Pelodiscus sinensis: one gene and its partners. Each later gene encodes a partner of the first gene's protein in a complex. Links are inferred from orthologs where the notes say so. Each region holds a gene or a part of one and is shown in the gene's direction. Other genes may lie near its edges. The genes, in order: ASF1A, TLK2 and CDAN1.

Region 1 (9,893 bases):
CTACACTAAGCTATCTCTTTGATCCTGTATTTAGCTACAACTCTCAGTACCTTTCCCAGAGATGAACAAGAGCTCTGTATAGCTCAAAAGTTGTCTCTCCCACCAATAAAAGATGCTGCCTCACCCATCTTATCTCTCAGATATTTTTCAGTCTGTTTCCAGGCTTAGACAGAAATCATTAATTTTACCCTTGACTCACATTTGGAAGTCAACAGTCTGGGCTAGAAACACAAGAATCTATTCTCCACTATATTTATTATATTAGCTGTGGGCAGTTGTGTCTGTATAAGATTAATGTAAAGTGAGACTTGACCCAAGAGAATTGTGCCCACACAACACTTCGGAGGTTATTTCTCCTATATACACAGTAGGTAGTTGCGGTTATGCTGAAAAGAACTCTGAACTGAGCTGTAAGCTCCAACCTGGACACAGGTTAAATCAAAAGAGAGGTGGTCATCAGAAATCCACCACCAGGAATAAACTTGACAGGGGCGCAAAGGAGTCTCCCTTGAAATTTTAAAACAAAACTGTATAGTATAGTAAAGAAATATGTAAATTGGTCGGGGGAAACCTACATCTAACATTTATTTTTATATTTCAGAATTGAGAGAAAAGACATTTTGTTATTTCATCACATGCATTTAAATGTCACTTACCCTGCCTTAGCTACACTGATGGTTTGTTGCTCCATTGCTTCATGTATGCTGGTTCTGTCATGTTCCTTGATGCTATTAAACTCATCAATACAACAAAGACCTCCATCTGCAAGCACGAGTGCACCAGCTTCCAAATTCCATTCTCCAGAATCCTTTACTGCAGTTACCGTCAAACCTGAAGAATGTTCATTCCAATTTAATATTTTTTTAAAGTATGTGTGCATTTGAAAGAAAGGGAGGGATGAAATAAACTAGCTAGTGCCAGGAAGAGGGAGAGAAAGCACCCCATTTAGAAGTTAAAATTTTGACAGGGGAATAAGGGGACGGTGCACCTCCCAAGATATGGTGTTAAAAGCTTCACCAAAGAGTTCTGCTAATGTACCTCAATTCAGACCTGCTGGTACAACATCCCCTCTATAACAATCCAGGTAATGGCAGGAAAATCTGCCAAGCATGCCACATTTTAAGGTGATGGTTTTACGATATGAACAATTTACAAAAGGAAGTAGAATGAGAGAGGACTAAATCTGTCGTATCAAATTAATTTTTGGTGCAAATTCAATGCTATTAGCAAAGTTATGCCAGGAACACAACTGATCCACTATCAACACTTAAGGCATCAAAAAAAAAAAAAAAGACCATTCAACAAATGCTGCAAAATAAATCATTTTAACATATCTTTCCACAGAGACCAACTCCTCAGTTCGTGAAGCAGAAGTGATTGTTGTTTCCACAAACCTGTGAACTGGGTCTGACAAAGTTTCTCTTTGTTTATTGGATTCATTTGAATGTCCAATTTAAGTGAAACATGAGAGCAGGAATCCATGGGTATTGAAACCAAAGAAAAAGTTCCCCACTGCATCTGCAAATGGACGCAGCTGATTGTGACGTGCTGTAATTAAGCCTCACAGCACTGAGACCCTGAAGAGTTTGAATTTCTGCCTGATGCATTTCTTGTTTACATATCAAGACTATTCAATTTTCACTTTCTCCAGCAAGTCAGTTCTTTTCTCTAATAACACTTAGTTCTGAAGAGGAGTTAACAACTTCAGGATAATGCTATCAGTAGGTATTTATGTAATATGAGGGGATTTGAGATTGCAACTACAACTACTAGGATGGCCATCCATCCTTAAACATCTGCAACTCCCCTTCTCCCCTCCTAATCTCTCTTTTATCTTCTGCCAAGTTCCTCCCTTTCCTTCTCCCAAGCTCTTTCCCCCCACACTCCATTACTGCTTGAATCACACATGGTCCTATGCCCCACACTCCATAGCTCCTAAAGATGTTATGGAATGCTAGGGCCACATCCAATCCAAAGATCATCTTGCTAGAACGGCAATGGGTTCAAAGATCTTAATGGAGCCCAGGAACCACCAACCCTTTGGCTGGTGCAGTTTTTGTCAGTGCAGTTCCATACTTCCAATAGGCAGTGAAGAATTAATAAGCATAGAATTGTTTTACTGACACACTACATGTTTTTTAGGGAGATTGGCCATGATGAATCTTTCTCATTTTGTCTCATCCTCCCTGATCTCTTGGACTTTGCTTCACTCTAGTAAGCACAGTACAATGTAGACAATGTCATCTGGCTGTTTAAATAGCAGTTATAAAAACTGAAGTAAATTCCAGCACTGTGAGAAGCATAAAAAACAGTCGAGATCATATTCAGGACAGTATAATTTCTTTGTAAATACAGACCAAGATTGTCCCCTGCTCTGGAAGAACATACAAGAGGGAGCCTCTGAGAGGAAACCTCACTGCAACCCTCAGGGATCTGCTGAAGACACAGAATCTCTGCGTCCAGCACTGCTCTCCAGATCTCTACAGGCTCCTTGTCAGCATTGCTCAGACTTTCCATGCAGGCAGTATCCTCTGAAATACTGCCTTAGATAAGACACTCCATTACACTCAAGGGCTCAATTCAGAAATTAATACAAACTGAACCTGTATTTATTTGTGAGTAGATTTCCCAGGGAATTGTGAGTGACATTCCACGCAGTCTTTCATCTTGGCTCCTTCTCAGCCACAGATCCATGACCCTGCCAGTTACTCTCTCCAGAGGCTAGAGGGAAGGGGCCTGGTGCCACTTATCTGAGTCATTGCCCCATCTTCCATGAGCAAAGAGTGAGATCTTCATGAAGAGGCCCCTTCCATATGGACCTTGAGGACTGTTCCAGCTCATTGTACCTCATTATCTAGCATCTCTTCAAACATAACAAATTGGATCCCACAGCCATTTCTTGCCTACTCTCAAGTCAAGTGAAGAGAGCCATTGACATCAAAGACTTTAATTGTATAAGTCCTGGTCTACAGAAGGAATTTACTTTGGTATAGCTATGTCTCTCAAGGATGTCAAAAATCCACCACCCCTCAAAGACATTCCTATACTGACCTCCTGAACTCCTGGTGTAGACCTGTGCTACATTGACAGAACAATTCTTGGGGAGGTGGATTACTTGCACCGATGGGAGAAGCTCTGTCGTCCATGTAGTTAGAAGTGATGTGAATGCATAATCACCTGGGCTCATCCACTAACCTTCACAGTTACATGCAGGCTCCTGGTATGTGTGGGGAGCTGGCTTAAAAGCTGCTCCCCATGCGCACTGGCTCTCAAGAAGCTGAGTAGTCCTCTTGCCCCCCATGCTGCTGCCTCTGTTTCAGAGGCAGCAGCATGGGCGGGGGGAAGGTGGGAGCCAACTGCCCCCCACCACTACTGAAATTTTTAGTGGTTACACAGTTAATTAAATGCAGTTTAGCATCCCTAGTAGTTAGTGTCTACACTGAAGCACTACAATGGTGCAGCTGCACTGCTTCATTTTAAGTGTGAACAAGCCCTCAGCAAGAACTTCTCATGTAAAGATTTCAGGCCTGGTCCCTTAAATCCCATGGGTTTATTTGAAATGCACCATTATACAGCAGAAATAAAGTCAATGAGGGTAAACAGATTTAAAACTAGCAAGAGAAAAAAAAATCAGCAACTTCAACTATGTTTTCCTTAATGAAATAATTCTATTCATCATCTGGCCACACAGAGAAGAAAACCTGGATTTGGAAAAAAAGAAAAAAGGGAGGGGGATAATAAACAAGGAGAGGAAAAACAAAAAGCCAACTCCATCCAGTGGTGCCTTGCACATATTTTGTGAGCACAGTACTCAAACTCAGACTACAAGCTCATCCTTCATTCATTAGTTCCTCCCAGTTTCATTTATGCTAGTCACTTTGTTCCAAGCCTTTTTCCTACTCTGGGCCAGCAGGTGGAGCAGCAGCTAATGTTTTTCAGTCCATTCAGAGCAAAGGAGCCCATCTTGTTCTTTCAGGAAGCTTCAGGAGGAGGGTCATAGCTCAGTGTGCAGCCAATCAGTGCCAACGCTGCCAGTTAACAGAGCAGAATGGGCTGTAGTTTAGTGAAATAGGAAAGCTGCAAAACAGTGTGGAGTGTTCCTATTGTAAATAAAAGAAAAAAAAAGTTTCTCAAGTCACAGCTCTACAACCTTGATCAAGTACTGGCACTGGAGTGTGTGCTTTACAAAAAAACAACACATTGGACTTTACTGTGCTGCATTAACCCCCTATTCCTATTGTTTGTATTTTTTTCAAAATATGGCAAAGGTTCAGGTGAACAATGTAGTGGTGTTGGATAATCCTTCGCCTTTCTACAATCCTTTTCAATTCGAAATCACGTTTGAATGCATAGAGGATCTGTCTGAAGGTGAGTAGATTTTTCCCCAGTACGGATTTTATAACCAGGGCTATTAGTTTCAGGTTTTAAACGGTTTAAACTTTGCAAAGGCCTGGTTCTACTATTTAACAGTTTCTCTTTCTCTGTCTCGGTGTGACTAGATGAAAGGATGTGCTGGCAGGCATCTAAATGCTGCTTAGAAATGCTCTGTCTTAGGCTGACGCGGTTAGGCTGAAAGGCAAAGGAAAGTTGATTATTGTGTCCTCTGCTGCAGAGTTGAGTGCTGCTGTATTTCGGATCCAAACCCTGCATTTTATAACGTAAGCTTAAGTTGCCAGGAACTTGTTTGAGTGGTGGTAGCCATGTTGCCAGCTTTGTGTTTGTGTGTGTCTGTGTGTGTGTGAGAGAGGGAGGGGGTTAACGAGCACATCTCTCATGCATCCCTTTTGCTGAAGTGAACTGTTGCTGAGCAGAGCCAAGAGGAATGCTGCCGAAAGGTTGCACAAAGTGGAGAACACCCCCCACCCCCAAGAAATAAAATATTTTCATTGTCTTGACAATCGATTCGAATACTTTGGGGGGAAATATTTCGAGAGGGGTGGGCTGCTCCAAGTAGAGATTCAAATGTAGCTGCAGCACTTAGTATTTTACAAAATGTCTGAAAATAATCAAACTAGCCGATTGAATCCCTTTACAGATTTAGTATTATTCCGGCTATTAACACTCCCCGCCCCGAGAGAGAGGAAGGGAGGGCGGGGGAGGGAAATAGTATTTTTAGAACTCACTTGAAAGTTGCTGTTGGGTGGTAGCCTGGGGGTGTAGGTGTACCCTGCTATGTCCTGCCAGCTAGGAATCTCAGGTTCTGTCTTCAAACCTAGTCTTTTGCTCCCCAGCCTGCCCAGAGCGGGGTGCGTTGTGCAGGGAGTGCGGTCAGCATGTATCCACCCACTCCTGAGTGAAGGGGGTGGACTAGACATTAACCTCTTGTGTCGCTCAGCTGCGACGCCTCCAGGGCTGGCTACTCTTACCAAATACTTTAGCAATCCACAGGCATCGTCCAAAAAGGTTTACAGCAGTGGTCCTACAGTGCATTGGGCCAGTGCTGCAGGTTAACAAGATGTTTACAGCAGAAAGTAAAATCCATTTCTCTTCTGGCCAGAGGAGCACTCTGGGACCCCTGGTCTCACCACTGGACTAAAAGAAGGGAGCAAGCTTCCTCCAGCTTCCCTCAGGAGCACTGGCACAACAGGTGAATGAAGCAGGCTAGTGACCAATCTTAAGCATTTGAGGGAGGAGTGGGAGTACCTTTGGCCACAAGGCATTCAGCTTGTGCTTTCTTGTGTCCCCCATGAAGAGGGCAGAACCATTAGGAGCTATTTATACCCTAACACTGTCAGTGACATGTGATACCTGGGGATCCCAACATTTTAAGCAGTAGGGGAAAATAAACTTACTTATTTCTGGTTTTACTTTATGGGTGACTAAACAGTTCAAAGCTTGGGTAATGGGATATGTGGGGTGTTTTGTATCTTTGTGCCACTAATACAAATCCAGTCCAAATCTGTAACTTTCAGTCATTGCTACTTTATTATGTATTGGTGACTTAACACAAAATGCATTTGGTGAGACCAGTTCCATGGGGAGCAAGTGTCCACATCACAGAAAACACCACCACCTTTGGTCTATCATAATTGCTGGCACTCTCCATAAGGGCCCTGTGTACAATTAAGACTTGCTTAAATTATCTTACTGCTACCCTAGTATTAGTGCTGTTCACCATTTCTTTTAGTTGGAGAAGTAGCTGCCATTTTTTTGTAGGGATTCATGGTAAACACCTGTGCTGAGCCAGTGAGAAATTTTTTAAAGATTTCTCAAGTGTAAACAAGGCTTCCATGGTGTTACTCTTTAAGACTTTTTGGATGCCACCAATGCTGCAAAGAGCTTCAGCCCTCTCTTCCTATGTATGTGCATTTGTATTTATCACTCTCAACACCAGATTGATTTAAATGAAAGTTGGGCCAGGTTGATTAGTGTATAAATTAGCAGAAAAAAGAAGTTTACTTCATTTTTTTGCACTATTATCCCTGTGTTCAGCTGAGAATGAAAAGTAGAGGTACATCACAATCACCACATCTACTTCCATATGGCCACAGCTATTGAGCTTTCATAGAAGTCATTACAATGATTATTATTACAAATAATCTTCAAATAATCTTCATCATTTTATGAAGAAGGTTGTGTCCTTGCTTTAATGTCCAAACACTAAATATCTCAGTCATCTATTGTGCTTTTTTCTCCAAAGCAGACCAATCACTTGCCAATTTAATTTTAAAATTTCATCTATTTAGTCAAAACAATTTTAAAAGTTACTGTTGGACACAGAGTCCTAATAGGATTTGATAATTACCCTTTTTGCATACAATTCTGAAAGAGCATTTACTTCCTGTAACCGTGCCCCCATATGATTCCTAATCTGTTTTATACTATCAGTAGGGTTCCCAGATAGTTTCACAAAAAATACTGAACATGGCGGGGGAAAAAATTAGTTGAGCACAAAACAAAACAAACAAAAAAAAAACCACAAAAAAAGTCATGACGCCTTTAAATCCTACACTCCCGAATGTCCCAAGTGGCCTTCTGTCCGGAAAAAAACCCAGAAAATACCGGACATTTTACATGTCTGATATTTTCTGGTTTTGGTTTTTTTTTTTTTTTTAACTGGATAGAAGCTGCAAATACTGGTCCAATACTGGACACCTGGCAACCCTAACTATCAGTCCAGAATGACTTAAACAGTGCTTTGGGACAGTGGCTTATAATGGATGTGCAAGGAAAATTCTAGACAAAAACCATCAATCCTCAATTTTATATAGTTTATTTACATAGCAGGAATTGCTACAGTGGATCCGACCATTTGCCCATCTAATCTGATATCTTGTCTTGGTATTCCCAAAATTCTTTCCTGAATCCTATGAGTTATGCCACTTAAATAATAAACACACATAAAAGGCTGTGCTAAATGATAAAAGATAGTAAAGCAGCCAAGTTGTTACAATGTTGCAGTTTCTTCCTTATTTAGGCTCCTATCCTGCAACAGGAGTGCCTCGCATAGACTCCTGTTCGCACCTGTTCAGAGAAGCTCATTGAAAAGCATGGAATGACACAAGAGTATGCGCTGATGACAGCATATATACAGAATCAGTACACTGTTCCATACTGATACACAAGATGAAAATGGGTCACACCTGGTTTTTTTTAAAGGCAATATTTTGAAACATTTTAAAATAAGTTCTATTTTCAAAAAAGTAAATCACAAATGGCATTTTTCAATAAGAATAACCCATCAGAGCAACCTTTGCTTGTTTGTTTAGAATCCAGTAATTCTGGCAGGTTAGTTCTCCTGTATGTGTGTTTTATCTAGAAAGTGAAAGTTAAAAAATAAGTGGAAATAAAAATTAATGGATGTTAGTTGATAGTTTCAGTTTTTAAACAGGTAGTGTGGGCAAAGAGTGAGCACAGCAACACAAATGGGCTAAGAAATATGAACTATTAACGTTTCTTTAAATTGTATTATGAAACAATAAAACACAGAGTTTACATAAAATGGTTATAATTCAGTCTTAAGATTCAGGTTACAGCCAGACACCAAAACCTTTACTAACAGTATCCTGTAATCACAATATTATAATTATATATTCTTCAATGTTTGTAGATGTATGTATATTTGTACAATGAGCTATCTATTCAATTAACAACTATCCTGCTCTGAAAAAGAAAAATTGGTAGGGGACCCAAAATTGGATTTTGTGCTGCTCTTTATACCATGGCTACCACATGTGAATGAGCTCACTACTTCCCACATATAACTGTTCCTGCTGTGTCTATCTTCAGTGTCCATCTCTCCCCATCCATCTATATCTAAAAATGGCATTACACAGCCCTTTTCCAGGGGAGAGGGGAGGATACTATTTCCAAATAATGGTAGCAGCAAAGCTTAGCAGCAAAACTAATGGTAACAACAAAACTTAGAAAGCATACGTAGAGCTGTGTTGGTACAAATGAACAAGTGATCCATTCCCTTATGTTTAGTTATACCACTACAACTTTACATCAGCTTTAAAGCAGTATAATTATGCCAATAAATTTCTCCTGTTGACAACCCTTTAGCCTTTGTAGGCCAGCAGCTATGGAGGCAAGTTTGAGTGAATGTCCTAAATAAGCAAGATGTGGGGCCCCTTACCTAGAGCAATGGACTGACTTTTCCAAAGAGAGGCAGTTAAATTAGATGAAAATTGTGAGCATTTTGTAAAATGTTGTTTTTGTTTTAATGTAGATTTGGAATGGAAAATAATTTATGTGGGTTCAGCAGAAAGTGAGGAGTATGATCAAGTTTTAGACTCCGTTTTAGTAGGACCTGTTCCTGCAGGAAGGCACATGTTTGTATTTCAGGTAAGTTTGTTATTTTCAATAATTTTACATCAGTTGAATTAATCTGATGTTTAAATGGGGCCAGCATAAAGTGAAGCAGCATTTCAATAATATGTTTTATGTTAGCAAACACTATTTTATGTCAACTCCTGAAAATCTGTCTACATGAGTCCTTGTTTTGCCTGAAATAGCCTACAGTTACAGTTCCACTTGTGGTATCAATGAGGGAATGGGGGAAGGAGAGGACTAGTTTAGACAAGGTTCTGGTGGCTACTGGCATTGTAACCACTCTGTTGACTAGCCTTGCTCAGGGAAAAGTTAGACAACACAGTGATTAAAAATGCCATTTAGCTGGTACATGAAAGCACTTCCCAACACCTATACCACTGGTGAGGTTGTAGTGTTGGTAGCAATTGTGGGAAACTTTTGAGTATAAATGTTAGTCTAGGCCCCAGTGACCAGTTCAATAGAATAGCCATCTGTCTTTGGTCAGCAAGACAATATTGCATCATGATGTTTGGCTCCTCATGCCATAATGCTGTAATTGCAACACCGTTTCCCAAGTCCTGAAATAAGTCTGGGATTCTCATTGATTGAAGCATGTCAAGGAGACACATGAAGATCACGACTCACCCACACATTTTCAGATGTTTGAAAATCCTAAGAACTACCAACTGAGGAAGCCAAAGAGTTACAAATAAGGCAAGGAGCAAGGGAAATGGGGAGAGGAGAGCAGAGAAGGGGCTTTATGCACTGCTCTGGTATCAGTCTCGCTTTAATTCTCAGGGGAGCTTTCTCTGTATCACAAAACCATGACTCAGGCCTGGTCTACACCTAAAACTTAGGGGTGCTTTACACTAAAAACTTAGGTCAACCTATCTGTCAATGCCAAGAGACATTGTTAAGCTGACCTAAACCATTAGGTCAGCTAAAGAATTTTTTCACTGACCTAGCTATTGCCTCTTCAGGTCAATTGACTATATTGTTGGAAAACAAGTGACAGTGCTGCAGGTATGCTACTGTAGGGCTGGTAGTGTGGACATAGCCTTAGTTCTGCATAACCTCTGTTTACCCAATGCTAGCTTCATCGGATAAAATAGGTCTAAAATGCCCTGGCAGTGGCGGCA
Region 2 (9,893 bases), on another chromosome or scaffold:
CTCAGGCAGGGGAAGTCTGTGGCTAGGCCCTCAGCCAGAGTGTAGGAAACCCCTTCCTTCCGAGGCAGAGAAGGAATCTGAAGAGGGTTTTGCTGCCTCTCAGGTGAGTGCTCTGACCACTTGATCATGGAGTATTCTGATGTGAGGCTTCCTCAATCCCTCCTATTGCAGATGTTCCCCTCTCATGAAAACCAGAATAATTAAATATTAATTGGGGCTGAGAAAAACTTGGAACAACTTAACCGCCAAGCAATTAGAGCCCTCAGTGGAGAGGGGCCGCAGCCTGTTCAAATTCCTTCTCTCTCGCAGGAGGGGGGGTTTGGACCAGGGGTCGCAAGGTGAGTGCACTAGGCTAAAGGTTAGAATGAGCTCCTCTCTCTCATTTTGTGTGGGCGCGTCTGGGGGCCCGGATCCAGTAGGTCACTTCTGGGTACACCTACCAGAGTGGGACCCTGCCTACGACGTGAATGGCAAAATGTCCATCTTCCCTGCTTTGTGAGTTATGGGGGGGAGCCAGAGGAGATAACTGGGCAACTAGCAGGATGCAGGAGTGCACATGCCCAGAGCCAGACACATGAGCGCCTGGGCATCTTTTCCTGCAAAAACGGTGCTGAGGGAGAACAGGCACCTTCCAGGGCTAAGGCGACAGCCACGTAGGAGTTGAGTGGAGCCTAAGGGACTCAGGAGAGAGGTGAAAGTAAGGCGGTGCGCCGCTCGGGCAAGAGCTGACTGGGGGATGCTTTCCCAGGCCAGCTCCTGCAGGCTGGTGCCGGAGACCTGGCGTGCCCAGCCAGGTGAGGCAGGCAGGTGTGCAAGGGACTGGCTGGGATGCGCTGTAAGGGGGAGACACGCTTCCAGCCAAGCTACTGGTGCATCCACACCTGTCCTGCTGCCCCCCTCGCTGGATGCCAGGCAGCGCTTGTGCAGTCCGTGGCATGCACGGCTGCCAGCAGCCCCTGGGAAGAAGCCAGGGGAAGGGAAGTGGCAAGCTCACACTGCTGCTGGTATCCCTGGAGCCCCCACAGCTCCCTTGTGGCCATGCAGCAAACAGGAGCAGCAAGGCAGGGACCTGTCCCCCAGCCAGGTAAAGGTAACCAGGCAGCAGCCATCCCAGCCCCCCCTTTCTCCTACACATGCACCCCAGCTCCCTGTCTTGAGCCTCTCCCCCAGACTCCCAACCCCCGGCCCTGACTCCTGCACCTCCCCCCAACTACATCCGTGCCCTGAGTTCCTCTCATACCTAAATCCTGACTCCTACACCCTCAAGCCCCAACCCTCTCCCCCCGCACTCCACCCCATTCTTACATTTCTCACAGGTAGTTGCATCGCAACCCCCTCCCCCACTCTTTGCTCTGAGCCCTCCCAAGAGGGGCAGGTTGCCTTAGGACAGTATCTGTAAGAAATTTAAGTTACTTTCACCCCTGGGAGTCTAAGTATCTTTGTGGCTCATACCCAAAGAGCTAAGGACCCTTAGTATAGGACAAAAATGCAGCTTGTGGCATCTCTCACTCTTCCCCCAGGTATTTCACATGTTGAACAAGCGACTGAACCCTCCACAACTGAGGAAAAGCAGCATGTGGATCAAGAGCAATATTGAATTTCTTCAAAGGAATGAGCAAAACCATACTGAAGTGACACACCCATTCTGCTACGTGACTCAAGGCTGCTGGTATAACTAAATCGCTTCAGTAGCCTGAGTGTCTGACTGCTGTTTCCTGCCTCAAGGAGATGATCGACCATCAGAACTAATGGCTCTAAAGCCACATCCAGATCCACAGACATAAACCACTGCAGTTAAGACCCTGCTGGAGTTGACCTGCTTCTTGGATATAAGAGTTCCCAGATCTCCTTTCCATTTCTGTTCTCTCTTGTTGATTTGTAACTATACCAATGAAGTTTACTTATGTTATGAATGAAAATTCCAAATGTCACTAATCATCCTCTAAACTGTGGTGATAAGTTGTAATAATTTAGATGGCTTAAGAAACATGCACAACAGAAGTCAACTTTCAAAACAGTTTGCACAGGTCCCTGTCAGTGTTCATGTCCCCACGGTGCATCTCGGGGTGGGAGCTGAAATTTTGCTACTACTTCCTCAGATTGGATCTCCGGCTGTGAAATAGGTTAAAGCACAGGAAATGCAGTTTACGAGAAAAGGCAGACATTTTCAAAGTGATTTGCAAAGCAAGTGCCCAGCAGCCTCCTCTACTCCCCACCTTACCGTTTTTAACCTCTGTTAAACTAACCATTTTAAAATAAAATATTAGTTCTTTTCAGCACTGCAGGTTACTGCCTTTTCTTGTACATTCCAATGGAATCTATCATTCCCTTAGTCCTACTCTGTATCCTCAGATTTGCCAAACTGGCAGATTCCTGTTCGACTGTACGTTCTCTTTATTGCAATCAAGTAAATCTGACTTCAGTGGCTGACTCTCTTTTGACATGCAGCCATATTGTCTAGAACACCTTTACCATTGCACTGTAGTTTTGGAAGGCAAATATTTCATCCAAAATCCCAGCAACTTCCTTTCCTGTCCCTAATCCACGCCTGCCTCCACTTGGACAGGCATGGCCACTTCCTTTCTGAATAACCTTCCCCACCCCCAATTTGTTTGCTTTTCAGAAAGCTGATTCAGCCTTAAAGCAAAGTGAGTTGCAGTGCTGTTTAGCGTCACTTAATATTCTCTCTGGTGATGCCCCAGGGTTTGGAAGAAAAGGGAATAAGAACAAACTACAAGGTAGTCTGGCTACTGTGGGGGAGATTAAGTCCTTTTCATACTGGAGTTTAGCAAGAGGCAACTACAAGAGCAAACCCCTAGCTGTAAAAGTGCCAGGAAAGTCTGTGGTTAATTTTAAAGTCACTTAGTTTGCTTTGACTGCCCATCCTGCTGTTTATGTGCAATATCCATGTTTAATCAGGAGCTTGTTAAAAAGATTGAAGAAATGGCAAATCAGGGAAGAGGCATTCTTGTTTTCTCATGTCTTTTTCGCAATTCCTCAGAGGCACAATTGATTGGGAGGTTGGGGATGTTCTGCCTATAAACTCTTCCCTTCAGGCCCTGGAGTCAATCTCTGGGGAACAGGAGACTGTCTTTGCAAACAAGGTCCCCTGTTGCTCAGGAAGAGGGAGGAATTCCCTCTGGGTGGAGATGGGGAGGAATTTTCCCTTCATGCCACAGGGAGTTAAGCAGAAAGCAGGGAAAGTGGATTCGCACTGATCATTCTTATGCATCAACTCCGCTCCTCTGCGCCTGGTCTGTTACTCCTTGAAAGCACCCTCCTGGCTGGGGGAGCAAGACCGCCCAGGTTACCCCTGAGCAAAACGTCAGCCACCCACTTTGCCCCCTAGCAGCAGCCTTGCAGTTCATTGGAGGGTGAAACAACCTGGGTGGGTATAAATCTCCACCAATCCCCTCCCCGATGCACTAATCCAACTGTGCTGAACCCTGGCCCTCTGCACGTTCTACTTTCCCCGTGCACGCCCCCTCCCCAGGCACTAACCTCTCACCTCCAGGACGGAGCCCCTCCCCTCTACACTTGACCCCACTTCTCCTACCAGGTGCCCTGGCCCCCCATGCACAGTCCTCTCCCCTGGCACAAACCCCAACCCCACGCACTAGCCCCTCCCCGCGCTGACCTCCCCCCTCCCCATGCCCATTAGCCCCTCCCCTCCCCGCATTCACCTCCCCCACCCCAGACACTAGCCCCTCCCTACGTTGACCTCCCTTCCCCCCTCCCAGCACTGACCTCCCCTCCCCCCCCAGCCGTGCAAATCTCGCGAGAGAACACGCGCTTTCACTAGTGTGTCTTTGCACCAATCGATCCCTACCGGGCCGGGCCGAGTCGGACCAGGGGGCGGACCCGGCCGCCCCGACACCCGCCCCACCCCCCCATCGCCGACTACTCGGGCTGACCGTGCAGGGAGGGGGGTGCCCCGGATTCTCGTGCCCCCCCCCGCGGCTCGTCGGAGCCGCCCCCCCCCTTTTTCCCCGGGGCCTTTGTCCTCCGAGGCCGCCGCCGCCCCCTCCCCGCGCCTCGCGCCCCTTGCCCGGGCGGGGCGCCTACGCGAGGCCGGGGATCCGCGGCCTCCCCCGGCGCCGGCGAGGGGCTCGCCCCGCGTCCCCGCCTCGGAGCCGCCGAGCTCGCTGCCCGCGCCGGCGGGGCGCCTGGCTCAGGAGAGGCCGCGGAGCCGCCCCTGGCCTCCCCCTCCCGCCCGGGCGGCCGCAGCAGGTTCCCCCCGCCCTGCTGCTGCCCCCGGCGGCGGCGGGATCCGAGCGGGGCCCGGGGAGCGGCCGGGCCGGGCCGGAGGGGAGAGGAGCGGCGGGGGAGCAGCGCCAGGTGAGAGCCGCGGGGGGGGGGGGCGGTTGCTAGGGGGCTGGGGGGGGCGCGGCCCCGCCCTGGGGGTCCTGGCCCCGCTGCCGGGGGGGGGACGCGCCAGGCCACGGGGCGGGCCGGGCTCGGCCTGCGGATCCCCGGCCTGGCAGTGGAGGCGATGGCTGCCTCGGGTGAGGGGGAGGCCGGGGCCGCAGCTGGGACTGGGGGGAGGGGGGGGCTACATCCCTCCGTGTGGAAACATCGTGCCCGGTGTGGGGCAATTCCCCCGCCCCCGGGGTGCGGCCTGTCAGCAGGTCTGCCCCAGGGCGCCCCCCACCCCCGGGGGGCAGGGACACCCCCGCGTGTGTCCGCCTCAGCCCCCCTGCAGGGCTGGGACCCCTGTCCCCAGGCCGCGCCACGCTGGTGGGGGAGGCTCTGCCTGCTGGTGGGGCGCCCCTGCCGCCCCTCCATCGCTGCGCTCCTTGCCAAGGGAGAGCACTGACAGCTTTGTTAAATGGAGACCAGAGGGTTGTATTAATCCGGTGGCTCGGTGTGTTAGGGCTTTTATGGCCTCTTCAGGGTGTGAATGCCCCCAAATGGACTCGCTCAGCACCTTGGAGATGAGAGGAAATGAGATTGGGGGGACAAAATGGACAGTCAATAAAAGGAACAATTATATGGTGGCTTTTCTAGAGGGCACTTGCTGCCCTTCAGGAACTTTCCATGTAGCATATGATCTTTATACAGCAAATCTGTATTCTCTCATTTTTTTTTTTCCTGCCATGATCTCTTTCGGAGAAATGAAACTGGAACAGATATTTCTGGAACTTATGAACTTGCTCCGAATGCAGTTAAGAAGATGTGAATCACAGTTTTAATAAACTCTGCAATTCCTCACTTTTTTTCAATTAACACTGAAATTGTACGTTTCAAGAATTAAACCAGATGACTCAAGGATGCCTTTAAAAAAAAAAAAAGCGTTTCATACAATGGTGCCAGTTTTAATGGATCACTTGGAAGTACCCAGAAGCATCCAACTATATGGGAGAAACTTGTGTGTTTGAGTATTTGGTACATTGTTTAGTAAAAGGAGAAGTTTAAAAAAGCATCATTCTCCATCTCATCCTTTTCCTGAAGAGCCTAGGCTTTGTCTCTGAAGTTGTCACAAAAGCCCTAGTAGCTGTAGGGCATTTGGAGTTATCCAGTGCTTCAGTGAATGGCAAAAACAGAGAATAGTGGGGGTATGAAGGATGTTTGAGAGTTTCTGACTAGTGTAGGGCTAAAGACTTCAGCTATAGCGCCCTCCCCTTCTGTTTTGTCTGCAAGAAATTTAACAAAATACTCAATGGGAAGACGGTGGAATCAGAGGGTTAGCAATAGGACTGAGGTTCCAGTTAAGAAATTTCCAATAAGTGGTAATTCTGTCAGATGATGGAGCTCTCTAGAATAGGCCCTGGTTAAAATAGTAACATTTTGGTGGCAAGTCACATTTTACTACATGATCATTTTGAATCTATATTGCATGACAGAAATTATTTGTATACAGTCACTTGTTACTACAGCTATTTTTGAGCATCATCAATGCCAGAGAAAATACATTCTTTCCCTTTTCCTTGCATTGACTAATATAGCATATTTTTCTCCCATAGCAGCAGAAATGATGGAAGAGTTGCATAGCCTGGACCCCCGACGCCAGGAACTGCTGGAAGCCAGGTTCACTGGAGTAGGTGTTGCCAAAGTAAGTAAAAGTGCCTGTGAGAGCAGGCACAAATACCTTGCACACCATTTTTTTTTTAACAGAGAAGTAGTGCTGTTTCAATAAGGGGAAATTGTTCATTGGTAATTTTGCTTTGTCCACTAACTTATTTTAAAGTGTGTGTAAAGAAGAATATACAATACTGAAAATAACGAGTTTGCCTCTGTGTACATAGACATCATGGTGTGTGTGAGAGTTTGAAGGCTTGCTCTTTTTTTTTTTTTTTTTTTTTCCTAGTATAAAAAAGCCATGCACCACACACATGTTTTGGAAGAGGGAGGATAGGCCATCTTTTTCCTATCTCAAAGGGTTTGTCTAGGAAACAGATGAGTAGCTTATTTGTTCTTCTTTGAGAACAACTGAAATTGTACAAGCTTAGCCTAATTTGTTGAGCCCTGGATATAACTATCTACTCGCCTGTGGTGAGTAGATTTTAGCCCAGCGGGGCCGCGCAGCGCGGTTAGCGTATGCCCTTCCGTGTGGCTGGCAAGCCCTGGTCATATCAATCAAAACTTACTTATTCAAGGGTAAGCTTGTGTATAATTAGGTTTGCAACCTGCTAGCAAAATCATAGAATCATAGAGCTGGAAGAGACCTCAGGAGTAGGGATGTTAAATTGTGGTTATCTGACTAATCATGTGGTCGATACAATTTGTTTCGACTACACGATTAGTTGATAAGGACCACTCTGCAGAGCAGCAGCGAGGGTACCTCCGGGAGCTGACTCGAGCATTTTAAATGTAGTAAGAGCCCAGTTGGTCTTACTACATTTAAAATACAGAGGTACAGTGTCCTGGACCAGTGCGAGCCAGGACCGAGCAGTCCTGGCTTGCGCTGAGTCCAGCAGCCCCGGTTTGTGGCGGCTAGAGGCTGCTTTGGCACCAGCCCCTGTTCACGGTGAACAGGGCTGGCTGCCAGAGCAGCCTCTGCGCACAGCCAACTCGGGCCACCGCGAACAGGGGCTGCTTGGTGGTCCAGCTCCCTAATGGGGCCCCTGTGGATAGAGCAGCTTCCCCTCCCCCCCCCCTCTCCGCTGCATGTGATAGAGGGGGCAGGCAGCACCATGGAGGGAGCCATGCCGCGGGGAACCAGTTTTTAAGCCTCTCCTAGAGGCAGCAAGGCAGGAGATGAAGTGAGTAGTTGATACTCTAGTCAACTATTCACTAACATCCCTACTCAGGAGGTCATCGAGTCCAGCCCCCAAATCCTACCCTTCTCTTAATATATGACTTTGTACCTGGATAACAGTTGCATTTCTTGAGTAAGGCATTCAGTAATAAGCTATGTCATTTCCGTCCTTTTGTTTAAAATTCCAGGATTGGATTTGATCTGTTTCTGTGTGTACTGTTATAGTGCCTATAATAGTGTGTCTTCATTTTTCTCACCATTCTAGTTCTCAAATAATGGTGGAACAGTGATAACATTCCAGTTTGCATACTTGAAAGTCACTGAGTTTCAAGCCATATCAAGCTAGAAAGGAAATATAATTAGATAACTTGTTGCTATAAAAAATGCAGCCACCTGTTGGAATCATATTGGGCAGAGGAAACTAATTTACCTTTCTGTGATGAAAAGTACAAAATAAATACATCAAATTTTGGAAAGGTTATATCCAAGTTCATACTTTGTTTCTGACCTACTTTGTGCTTCAGTTGTATTATGAAGCCCTGGAAGTAGATCAGTAAGTAAACAGTTTGCAACTTAAAGGAAGCTGAGACCTGGTCCAAAACTGAAAAGTTTTAGTGTTAAAACTTTTGGTTAGGTATGCTATTTTTTAAACTTATATGGTAATATAGGTAAAAACTCTAATGGGGTGCAGTTTTTTGGGGATGAAGATGACTTACATTAGTATAGTTATTCCTGTTTTAGTATGGGGTGAGCTATACTGATATAATTGTGCTCGTTCTTTTGAGTAGTGGTGGTAGTGTGTTGGACCTCTTTAACTATAGAAGTATAGTTAAAGCAGTACACAGTTCTAATGCAGACATGCCCCTGGATTGTTGGCTTCTTGAGGGCAGGACCCTCGTCTGTCTATATTATACAGTGCCTAAATATTAACACTGAGGTGAATGTTAACTTTAGGAAGCCACTTCTTATAAAGAAATAACTTTAAGCAGATCTAAGCATGCAAAACTTAATGTTACACAATTGGGAGAAAAATGCTCTTCCACTATTAAAGTTAATGAAAATTACCTTGCTAATTCTCATGCCATTGAACCATAAATTGCTGATCCACCTAAAGAGAACAACAGTTTCTCGTTTCCTAGAGCACACAGGAGAGGACTGTATAGTAGTAAATTTGTCTAGTGTAAAATATGGCATTGTTAGTTTAAAACTATTATGTTTCTTAAAATAGAGAACATCTTGTGGTATAGCTGGTTTATTTATCTTCATACTCTTACTTGTTAATTTGCAATGGATCTCCCATCCACTCATGAAAATTACCAAGGTCCTACTAAAAATGTGTAGTCCTGTGGCACACTAGAGACATATGGTATCATGAGCAAAACCCCACTTCTTCAGTTGAGCTTAAGTGGAGATTCTACTGTTCTACGAGTATTAATCCTAGACACTGACTACTGGGCCAATGCTTTTTCAAAATCTCTGCCCGTCACATGCAGCACTGGCATCTGTATCTCAGTATTTCAAAGTGTCCATGTTTGGAAACATATTATATGGTTTTTAACAGATTTAAGAGAGATTTTAACTCTCTTCAGTTGGGTGTGGAAGGACAGATACTTCAAATGAATTAGTGCCATCTAGTGGGATTGGTACTCGCCTCTTGGGATGGAAAATAGTCTATCTCCATTTGTTGCATAAAAGAAAGAGAGTGTAGCCTCAGATGCTACAGGGTGAATAGACCAGGCAGCTGTAACATTGATCTTCCTGCCTTTTATTAATTTGGCTTATTGCTTGGTATTTATTCATAAACTTACAGCACAAATCAGACCTGTGAAAAATAAATAAAGGCCAGTTTGTATTCTTATTACTAATTACAGCACATACAGGTTTTTTTTAACTTTTGTTCATTTGCAAACCTGGGAAAATAATGCTGTTTGTAAGAGTGTATTTCTACCTGAAAACCAGTGTGGACTCACTGAATTTCCTCAGCCTCAGAAATCAAAGAATATACCTTTTCATAAACCCTTAAAATAACTGAAGTCATAGGTGCAAGAAAACTTTGAGTCTAGGCAATTGATGGAATTCCATCTACATGAAACAGCCATGTAATTATATATCTTCAAAGCAGTGGTGACTTGTTGGGCACCTACCCTTGCCATACAGTTGAAATGTATTCCTTTATCTAATTCATGCCTATGTTGATTAAGAAAGGTCTTGCTTTCTGGATACCTGACATGAGTTGGTACTTGGTTACTTATTTTATAGCTCAGGCTTCATTTAGCAAATGAACAGTCACGTTCAATTGTGAGGCATACTTCTAGCTAAACCTGTCGGTAAGTGTTGAAGACAAGCTGTAGTTTGAATTCCTATGGATAACGTTTAGTTTTATGTGTCTTCTCTTGTGCCTCTTATCTCACTGGTGGCTAGAGTACAAAGTGGGATAATTCACAGGATTTGCACCATTTCACGGTATTTGTACCATGTAGAAAGTCGGCTATCCACTTGGTGCACGCACTTCAGCCTCCACTATTCAGGCTTAGCGGGATGCATCTTTATTGTGATAGACCCATCATCCACCAGCCTGCTATTGGGAATCAAAGTTCATAAATGAAACCTCAGTTTGCTTTGTTGTAGCTGTGCTGATTCAATCACTGTTAAGAAAAACATTTCTAAACTTAAATCTGCAGTGCTTCAAAACAGC
Region 3 (9,893 bases), on another chromosome or scaffold:
AAGACAGAACCTGGTGCTAAGATAGACCAGTTCCATATTGAAAGTAGACATCAGAAATATTGTTTTGCTAAGTTTGTTTTTCTTTTTAAATGATGACAAGTAACCTCCACTTTCATTGCAGTTAAGCAAAATGCTTCTGCAGGGAAGGTGCATCTGAAGAGCTGAAAGTGACCAGTGACCAGATGGAACAATGCTGGATTAAATCTGAGCAGCACACTCATGGATCAGCAGCTCTGCGGCCTAGTTCTATTCAATCCCTGAGGACGTAACGTTGTCAAACCCTTGGGGTACCTTGCACAGCTCAGATTTTTTACAAGGGCTTTTTAAAAATACAATAAAAATAGCAGACACTAAATTTAAAGTCAACTATTTTTGCAGTTGAATTTAAAAACACTCAACTTGTGTAACTAGCAGATTCTGCTCCTGCTATTAAATAATTGTAACTTTACCTTTGCACCCCACTCCATCATGCGTTTTATATTCAAAACGTCACTAACTCAAAGAGGATACACACAAGAGTCTTAGTCAAAATAAATTTGATTTTTTGGAACGAGGATAAGGAAGAAAACAGAAGAGACACATTAACCAACTGCAAACAGTTGGTGTTAACAAATGGGAGATTGGTAGTGTTAAATGCCACCTAATGTAAAACTTTCCCCACTGGGGAAAAAAAAAAAAAGCCGGAGGCAAGTCCAGTTGGCTCCATTATAGTCACAGGCTGGAGCAGACATAACAGCACCTCTAATATCAGTCATTTTACATATATTCAAGTTTTACACATCTGCAAAACAGAAATAGTAGCAGCCATTTGGATGTTCTTTCTTAATGGTTCTCAGGGGTGGTCTAGGAAATTCCGAAGGGCCTGGTTCTTGAGACATAGAACTAGAACTACAGCTGCTGCTTCTGCTGCTGCTTCCGGCCATCTGTACTCTGCCTCTGTCTTCAGCTGGGGAGATCTGGGGAGACCCAGGACTCAGATACCCTGCAGTGGTCTGAGTAGAAGTGGTGGCATAGGTGGTTGGGCCTGTGTTGTTTTTCACATAAACATTTTTGATAGCCACCAGTGTGTGTGCCATAATACTGAGGCTGTTGCTGAGATCTTGCATGCCTTGCTGCAGCAAACGAAGGTTGTGATTGACACTGTCAAAGCCAGATTGGATCACTTGCATCTGGTTCTGCTGAATCTGTATTAAATCCTCTTCAGTAATTTCATTTTGGTCTGCCTGTGACCGGCCTTTTGTTTTGGCTTTTACTTTCCCAGACAAGCCACCCCCAGCTGTTCCCAGAAAGGGCAAGTGCTCCTGGCTAGGTGGAACCACAGCCATGTCCTCAGAACTTTCTTCTGGCTCCACTACCTTCACTACTATTTCTTCTTTTAAGTTCATCTTCTCAAGACAGGGTTGATGGGATGGGCCAGGATCATCTGTAAACCCTAAAAGGGCATAGAGGAGAAATGGAAATAGGAGTCAGACTTCATCATCTCTGTGCTTAATCAAACCTCTGCCTACCCCGTGAGTACAACTGGCTTTTTTATGTGGTAGTTAATTCTTCTGATGTCAAGACCCTACAATGAGGAGTTGTACTGTATTATCTCCTACACTCATAGCACGCTTTGAAATAATCAAAACATGCTTACTGTAAATGACATAACTCAGCAATGCAAATCTTTGTCACCACAACAGCAGGGACTGACTGCCGATTGCTCAGAATCGACTCTAGTACTCCACCAGAATGAAATGAGTAAGGAGAGTTGATGGGAGAAACCCAGCACGGTGTGGACCCTAAGGTAGGGAGATTTAAGATACGCTGACCTGAGTTATGCTACTAATGCAACTCAAACTGTGTAGCTTAGATCAACTTGAACCTGTACTGTAGACCTGCCCTCCCATTGAAATCACTTACTCCCCAACAGATCAGTCAAAAGCATGTGATACAGAACAGACTAAATTCATTCCAAGCTCTTATTTTCCTCTCTCCAAGTTTAGCACAATAAACCCAGTATTTGCAAAGCAGACCCACAGTGGCACCCTCTCTGAATCACTCCTCCTTGTCAGAAGTCTCCAATTGTGGGAAGATCAACACTGCAGCAGTTGATCTTCTGGTGTATGATTTAGTGAGTCTAGTAAAAGACCTGCTAAATCAATTGCTCAGGGTGCCCCTGTCAGTGCCAGTATTCCTACTCCATATGAGGACTAAGGAAAGTAGATAGAAGTGTTCTATCGACTTCCCGCTGTGAGGATGGCGCCAAAACACAGCTTAAAGTACACCGACTCCAGCTACATTTTGTTATGTAGCTGGAATTGCATAGCTTAAGCTAGAGGTGGGGAACCTTTTGTTGGGTAGGGGCCATTAACCCACAGAAAAATCAGTTGGGGGCTGCACTCAAGTGAGAAGCAAAACAAAACAAACCCCTCATAGACATGGCCCCTGACTGACACTCCCCACATTCCCCTTGCACACCAGAGCCTAAGAGGCCCAGGCTAGTAGATTTTGTGGGCTCCAGCTCCATAGTAGGGAAACAATGGGGGAGTCTGAGCTCCAGTGAGGGCTCCCCAGTGCTGAGGAGGTCCGAGCCTTGGGGGCTTGACCTTCCCCTGCAGTGTGGACCTGGCCTCTGATTCCTTGCACTAATGCTCATACCTTGCAGCTCACACACAACAGGGTGTAATTTACCAGTTGGCTGCATTTTACAAAGGCTGGGATTTGCAAGGTGGAATACTTTCTTGTGAGTGTTTGGAATGATCCAAATTTGCATATATGCAGGTGGGTCTATACTGTTTGTTCACTTGTTTTCACTGCCTATAAAGCAAAACCTGCCAACAGTTCACCATCTATCTGATTTAGGCAAGAAGAGGAAGCCATTATAAACAAATTATGTTGAAAAAAGTATTTTGGACAGTAGAACATCCTTAATTTGCACACAACTGTGACCCCTGGTGAATTAGTAAATGAAGAAAAGGCTCTGCTTCTTAAATCATACTGTGTTCATTTCTTCTGACAACTATAATTACCTGTGACTTGATATTTTATACAATCTACTCATAAGATAGTGTTCTGGGAGTTTTTTTCCTTCTTGAGGCACAGAATCAGGTGAACAGATACTACTTAAAACCTTGGTTCTTATATTACTTGCCTTGACTATCAAGAGTAATCCCACTAAAATCAATGTTACACTTTAGAGGAATAAAGTGAAGCAAGTGTCTGAGTCTATGGGTACGTCTAGACTACCGCGTTTTGTTGACGGAAGTTTTGTCGACAGATACTGTCGACAAAACTTCCGTCGACAAAGCGTCCAGACACATTGAGTTCTGTCGACAAAGCAAGCTGCTTTGTCGACAGAACTCCGTAATCTGGACGCAACGTTACAGGCAATAACACCTTCTGTCGACAGAGTTCTGTCGACAGAAGGTGTTATGCCTCGTAAAATGAGGTATACCAGTGTCGACAAAACTGCTGAGTTCTGTCGACGTTATGTCGACAGAACTCAGCGGTAGTGTAGACGCTGGTATAGTTTTGTCGACAAAAGTCCACTTTTGTCGACAAAACTAGGTAGTCTAGACACACCCTCAACAACAGGGCTAAACTCGAAATAAGTCACAGGACTTGAGCTACGCTTATTGTGTAGCTTAAGTTGCGAAATAGCTTATTTAGACTTTTGGAGCTGTCTACACAGCAGTTATTTTAAGATAGAGCATTCTTCCCCTACTCCTCACACAATGAGGGTTCCAGGAGTCTGAGTAAGCAGTCCTCCAGCTTGACATTATTTTGATATTATGTCGAAATAACTGATTGTGTTTAGACATGGACTCTGTTATTTGGAACAGTCAGTTATTCCAAAATAACACTGCTGTGTAGATAAAGCCTAAGCATTTTCTAGATTAGAAACACTTTACAGTTAGATATAACTATGAGCAACTGCTATAACACAAAAAACAAATTGATTCTTCACACAAGCGAGCTATGCATCATGGTCCCTAAAACCACTGGAAGATGGAGACGTCACTGACAGGGGCATAAGCAAGCACAAAGCTTCAAACCGAAAACTGCCTGGGGTAAGTCTCACTTACACCTGTGTCCTTTGTACATTACACCACTGCCTCATGTGAGTAACAGGAGTTGAGGGGAAGGGGGTGAGTGATGCTCTGGTCTGTCCCTTAGGAAGCACCTCTGGGACAGGCTGCAGAGCTTCAAGCCACATCTAGAGGGGCCGTGGTCGTACGGGTCCCCGACAGGGCAAAAAAAAATCTCATCATTAAGAATGAAGCCGGGCCACGGCGGGGGGAGAGGGGGACCTGGGAGCCGCCGCTCCCGGCTGATGACAGGTGCCCCCCTTTCAGCGCCGGACGTGGGGAAGCAGCACAAAGCCGCCGGGAGCTGCACAGAGGCTGAGCTAACTCCTCTGCAGGGGGCATGGGCCGGAGGGGGGGGTTAATCCCCCGGCTCCATGACAACGCCGACTCCTGCCGCGTCGCAGGCCCAGATTGGCGGGGGGGCGCCTGGGGCCCCGCTGTCCCGCCCCGCGGCTCACCGATGTCCACCACGGAGGCTCCCGGCAGGTCCAGCGTGTCGATGCCGCCCACGATGGGAACGGCCTCGGCGTGGCCCATGGCAGAGCCGTAGGCGCGGTGGTGGTCGGGCTGCGAGGCGGGCTGGGACATCTCGTCGGTGGGCAGCAGCAGGCCGAGCCCGCCGGGGGGGCCGCAGCCGTGCGAGAGGCGGCAGAGCTTGCTGCGGTCGCGGCGCTTCAGGTCCCGCCAGCGCTTCTTGAGATCCTCCACGTCGCGGGGGCAGGCGGCCACCGGGTTCACCTTGTGCCGGATCAGCTCCCACACCCGCCGCTTCTGGCCCGGGGAGGCGCGGCCTGGCCCCGCCGCGAACAGCAGCTGCTCGTGCTTCAGCACCTGCTCGATCAGCACCTCGGTCTCCGCCTCGTTGAAATTGGCCTTGCGCCGCTTGGGCGAGTCCTCGGCCATCATCCTGCCCGGCCCGCGGGCCGCCCCGATCGCCGCGCGCCCGCCGCTAGGCCACAGCCCGGGCCCTGCTCGGGAGACCAACGCCGCGCACGAGAGCGAGGGACGCGCAAGCCCCCAGCGCAGGCGCCGCGCGCCCCGCTTGTTGACATGGGGAGGGGGCGGGAGTCGGTGGCCGGGCCGCCCCGCCCCGCGCAGGGAGGCTGCGCGCCCCAATGGCAATACCTACTGCGCCCCGTGACAGCCCCCTCTTGCCCCGCCCACCAGAGGCACCGACCCTTGGAGCCCCGCCCCCTTCTGGCATCACACTCGCCCCACGGCGCCTATCGTGTGGTCCCGCCCTTTCCGATTCTAGCCCCTCCCCCCCCGCGGCGCACGAGGGAGTTAGTGGCGGCGCCGTCGCCTGCGCCCGCGTGGTGCAGCGTCTCAGCCCCGCCCCCGGGCCCTGCCGCAGCCGCGCTTGTCCGCGCGCTGCGGCGTAGTGCGCCTGCTCGGCGGCCGGGGATGGCGGCTGTTTTGGAGCTGCTGTTGCGGGAGGAGGTGGCGCCGGACGCCGTGGTGCGGTGGCTCGTGCACGGCCCCAGCCACGACCCAGCTGAGGTAACGCGCAGCCCGGCAGCGAGGGGCCGCGGCCTGCAGCAGCCCGGACTCCCTGCCCCGTGCGGGCCGGTGGCCTGGAGCAACCGGATTCTGGCGTCTAGGGGCTCTCCCGGGGGCTGCCGCGCTCGGGCCATGGAGGGGGGCAGCCTGCGGCGGGGTGGGAAGCGCAAGCCGAGCTCAGCACCGGTCTGCGGGCGGCCGGTGCAGCCGACAGGCCCCAGGGATCAGCCCACTTGGCCGAGTCCAGCCGAGGTTGGGGCCGGGACTCTCGCCCGCGCAGGCAGCTCGTCTAGTTTGGCACCCTGTGTGGTGGGCCCTGGGGGCAGTCAGCGCTTCTGCGGGCTGGAGGAAAATAAGGGGGGAGGAGCCGCAGCCGCGGCGAAAAAGAGTTTGTAGCGTGTTCCTCCTCAACGGCCCAGCCCCACTGCAAAATAAAATGCCAGGTGTGTGTGATCCCTTGCGTCCTCCCGCTCTCAGCACCGCCCCTAGTTTCCATGCGCTGTGCTGGTGTGTTAAGAGGAGTTTTGTATTAAGTAGGTGCAGATTTTTTGTTTCTGGCAGTTTCCCCCAGGCAAAGTTTCCAACACTTCAGTTAGTCTATAAGGTGCCACAGGACTCCTCGCCGCTTTTGCAGATTCAGACTAACACGGCTACCTCTCTAATACTTAACCCCTTGATGTGACCCACAAAGCTATTTGGCTATTATTGTGATCTGTTGCTGCTGAAGAAAGCTTGGTCATATGAAAGTTGGACAGGCTATCCAGATAAACTTACACTTGGATCTCTAGAGCTTAGGCTATTTACAGAATGTTCACAAAATTTTCTTGTATTCTATTCCTAAAATGTGAGGATCCCTGTAGTTTAAGAGCTCCATCTGCTGGTTTTGCAGCAAGCAGCTATCAAACACAATTTCAAAGGCACGTTCTAATAAGCTAAGAGGGTGCCTAGCCTGCTTACTACTTGAATATAGAGACTTCCAAAAAAAATCCAGGATGCTGCAGGAAGAGTGGTAACTTAATAGACTTAATTCATCCCTCTGAGTTAGTTCTGTTTTATTGCCCCTGTGGTGTGCTTGTGGATTCGCTGCTGCTGTCAATGACATCTCTTAGGTGTGATGTAAAGCACTTTATTACAGTCTCTTGGCATTTGTCATACATTAGAAGTTATGTTGGTAAACACCATTTTTACCAAATGCCTGCTCAAGTAATTACATTTTTTCTCTCAGCTTCCTTTCTAAAATTTATATAGCATGGCTGCTGAGCAGATGACATTTTCTAATGTGATAGTTATTGTGAATCAAGGAGTAGCTGAATTGTTAGTAATTGTTAACTACATTTACGGTGTGTTTGGCATTTTTTGGGGAAGAAAAGTGTTGTATAAATGTAGCTGAACTATGTGGTTGTGAGCCACGATGGGAGAAAAATCTATAGCTCATGGAAAAAGGTCAAATGGTTAGGGAAAGACATTGCTGTTTTTAAATAAAAATTTTCAAAAAGGGAAAGAGATAAAATTGAGTTATAGTGTGAAGTCATTGTTTGTGCAGTTTTCCCAGATAGTCGAATATTGCTTTAATGAGAGATTTGAGGTCTCATGAGTGAGTTCTGGACCTGGAACCAAGGTACCTGGAGTTCTATCCCTGGCTCTGCCATTGACTTACTGTGTGACGTTAGGCAAATCATTTCACTTTGGCTTTTTCTATTACTTGTCTATTTGGAAGTTTCAGGGGGTAGCCGAGTTGGTCTGTACAGGATAAACTTAAAACAACAAATGGCCTGGTAGCACTTTATAGACTAACAAAACATGTAGATGGTATCATGTGCTTTTGTGGGCACAGCCCACTTCTTCAGGGGTTCTTGTAGATTTCAAAGCAGGCATGCCATGTGGAACCCCAGGTCAGCGGAACTCCCAGCTGGCCTGGGCTCCCCACTGTGTTCTAACTTTGAAATGTACAAGAGCTCCAGACATTTCAAAGTTGGCCACCGCTGTGCCCTTGCCCACTCCCAGAGAGCTGGAGCTGGGGGGAACTGGCTTTTAAGCCGGCTCCCACCAGCACCCGTTCCTTCCCCCCCCTCCTCTCATTGCCTCTTTGTGATAGAGGCAGCAAGGGGGGGGTGAAGCGACTGGTCGATTAGTTGCTTATATCCCTACAATACATCAGGTGTGGTATTTCCAGTACAGTTGGGCTACGTCTACACTGGCAGCTTCTTGCACAAGAACTCTCTTGTGGAAGAGTTCTTGTGCAAAAATTCTTCCGCAAGATAGCATCAACAGTGCCATGTGCTTTTGTGCAAGAGCATCCATGGCAGTTTAGACACTCTCTTCCACAAGAAAGCTCTGATGGCCATTTTAACCATAGGGGCTTCTTGCGCAAGAAATTCATGTTGCCTGTCTACACTGCCCTCTTGTGGAAGAGCTCTTGCACAAGAGGGCTTATTCCGGAAGAAATCCTGTTTTATGACGCTATACTGTAAATTTACTTCTGGAAGAATGCTCGTGCATTGTAGACAGCCGGCAAGTTTTTGCGGAAGAACGACTGAGCTGCCAGTGTAAGCGTAGCCTCAAGAGAATAGAAGAGTCTGAAACTAGAAGAGCTGATGAACCAGGTGAGGGAGGAGAGAGCTTCTGGAAGGGAAAATCTTTAGATGAACCTCAATTGTATGGAGTAGGCTTTGCTATTAAGAACAAGCTCGTAAAATGCCTCTCTGAGGTGCCAGTAGGCATCAATAAGCAGTTTATGATCATCTGAGGCTCACCAAAAACCGAGGTAACTATTGTGAGTGCCTGTGTGCCAACAGTGGACGCTGATGAGGATGTAAAGGAAGATTTCTATTCTCAGCTGGAAACCATTTTATCAGAGACCCCTAAAGAAGAGAAGAATTTTGGGGGGGGGATTTCAATACGCACGTTAGACAAGACTGATATCTGTGTAAAGGAACAGTTTTCGAAAGAAGGAGCTGGCAAAAGCAACTCAAATGGAATCCTGCTCCTGACCAAGTGTGCTGAACACGAACGTATCATTATGAACACCCTTTCTTGACCAAAAAAAAGTTCAAAACATCTTGGAGAGGCCCATGTTCAAAGCACTGGCATCTTCTTTACTATGTCATAGTTCATGCTCGAGTTTGTAGTGATGTACTTCTCATGAGCAATGACAAGTGCTGATGACTGCTGGCCTGATGATTGCCTCATTTGATCCACAGTGAAAATTAAGATAGCCCCCCAAATGAGGGCTGCAAAAGAAACAGATCAGGTGCAAGCTTGAAGGGTCAAGATCTGAAGGACCCATTAAGCATGACCACTTCCAAGCAGCCTTATAAGAAAAGGTTCCATCAGAGTTTCTGGAGGAAATTGAGGAGCATTGGAGCCAGCTGAAAGCAGCAATCCTCAATACTTGTGAGGAAACAATTGGCTATCATACCAGAAACTATTGGGATTGGTTTGAGAATGATGTTGAAATCAAACAATTCATCAATGAGAAGAAATTGCAATACAAAGAGAGAAGCCCATGCTAAGGTAAAGGCGGAAGTCCAATGTAAAACCAGAGAACTCAAGAACAAATGATGGACCGAGAGAGCACAAGAACTCCAGCACTTTTATGGCTACCCATAATCACGTCTTTTTAGTGCTATTAAGGCTGTTTATGGGCATGGCATGAACCCCCTTCGTTCAAAGGATGGAACCACACTTATGAAAGACAAAGCTATTAATTTTCACTGGAAAGAACATTTTGAAGATCTTAATTGTAATTCTACAGTTGCAGATGAATTTCTTGAGCGAATCCACCAATGACCTTCTAGGGATGAGCTTGGAGACCCTCCCAATTTGTATGAGGTATACCAGTGGTCCCCAACGCGGTGCCCGCGGGCACCATGGCACCCACCGGGGCATTTGTGTGCGCCCGCCGACAACCTGGGCCGGTGCCGGCCCCAGGCGCGTGACACGCACCGGCTCCCGGTGCGCGGCGCTTGGGCGGCCCCGGCCCTGGGGCACATGCCGGCGCCGGGTGCAAGGGCATCCCCGCCTATGGCGTGCCCCAGGACGCGCGGTCCCCACCCCCCGGGGCGCCCGGCGCAAGTGGCCCCACCCCCCAGGCGCCCGGCGCGTAAGTGGCCCCGCCCCCGGGAGCCTCTAAAGGTTGGGGACCACTGAGGTATACAATGCCATCAAGCAGATGAAGAAGGCAGTAGGTCCAGATGTGATCCTCGCTGAAATCTTTAAAGATGGTGGATCAGAGTTAATTTGTCTGCTTAGTTTGCTTATCCTTAAAATCTAGATAAAGGAGGAGATAATCAAGGCATCCGTCATTTCACTGGGTGTTGCCCT

What was found.
Region 2: the proteins of ASF1A (region 1) and TLK2 are in contact, whole or in part, in a crystal structure (PDB 7LO0), measured with the Homo sapiens proteins. The link is inferred for Pelodiscus sinensis from reciprocal best matches to the Homo sapiens genes ASF1A and TLK2. Residues at the interface, in NP_054753.1 of Homo sapiens: Val45, Ala48, Glu49, Glu51, Asp54, Asp88, Val92, Thr93, Val94, Leu96, Arg108, Gly110, Tyr111, Tyr112, Arg145, Thr147, Phe149; in NP_001271262.1 of Homo sapiens: Arg11, Arg12, Gln13, Leu15, Leu16, Glu17, Arg19, Phe20, Thr21, Gly22, Val23.
Region 3: the proteins of ASF1A (region 1) and CDAN1 are in contact, whole or in part, in a cryo-EM structure (PDB 9CVC), measured with the Homo sapiens proteins. The link is inferred for Pelodiscus sinensis from reciprocal best matches to the Homo sapiens genes ASF1A and CDAN1. Residues at the interface, in NP_054753.1 of Homo sapiens: Gln5, Val6, Asn7, Asn8, Val9, Val10, Val11, Leu12, Asp13, Pro15, Asn20, Pro21, Phe28, Asp37, Val45, Ser47, Ala48, Glu49, Ser50, Glu51, Glu52, Asp54, Asp58, Ser59, Val60, Leu61, Val62, Gly63, Pro64, Val65; in NP_612486.2 of Homo sapiens: Arg195, Arg196, Ile197, Asn198, Thr200, Val202, Lys390, Leu391, His470, Glu471, Glu472, Pro473, Gly474, Trp475, Asp476, Lys538, Arg541, Arg544, Leu545, Gln546, Arg548, Leu549, Met550, Ala551, Pro552, Gln553, Ser554, Ser555, Arg806, Lys807.

What each region holds. Positions count from the first base shown.
Region 1 is NC_134713.1:84,928,732-84,938,624, forward strand, and holds the start of ASF1A (histone chaperone ASF1A), read left to right. Parts: upstream 1-4,032; 5' UTR 4,033-4,035; coding exon of another isoform or gene 4,036-4,100; 5' UTR 4,101-4,259; coding exon 4,260-4,368; intron 4,369-5,497; coding exon 5,498-5,587; intron 5,588-7,197; exon of another isoform or gene 7,198-7,729; coding exon of another isoform or gene 7,730-7,755; intron 7,756-8,671; coding exon 8,672-8,787; intron 8,788-9,893. Other genes in the region: DNA helicase MCM9, read right to left, coding at 657-831. UniProt on the Homo sapiens protein: Histone chaperone that facilitates histone deposition and histone exchange and removal during nucleosome assembly and disassembly.
Region 2 is NC_134739.1:5,112,599-5,122,491, forward strand, and holds the start of TLK2 (serine/threonine-protein kinase tousled-like 2), read left to right. Parts: upstream 1-3,871; 5' UTR 3,872-4,338; intron 4,339-5,963; exon of another isoform or gene 5,964-5,966; 5' UTR 5,967-5,971; coding exon 5,972-6,052; intron 6,053-9,893. UniProt on the Homo sapiens protein: Serine/threonine-protein kinase involved in the process of chromatin assembly and probably also DNA replication, transcription, repair, and chromosome segregation. Phosphorylates the chromatin assembly factors ASF1A and ASF1B.
Region 3 is NC_134714.1:66,825,385-66,835,277, reverse strand, and holds the start of CDAN1 (codanin-1), read left to right. Parts: upstream 1-5,120; coding exon 5,121-5,570; intron 5,571-9,893. Other genes in the region: uncharacterized protein LOC142829135, read right to left, coding at 774-1,432, 4,529-4,976. UniProt on the Homo sapiens protein: May act as a negative regulator of ASF1 in chromatin assembly.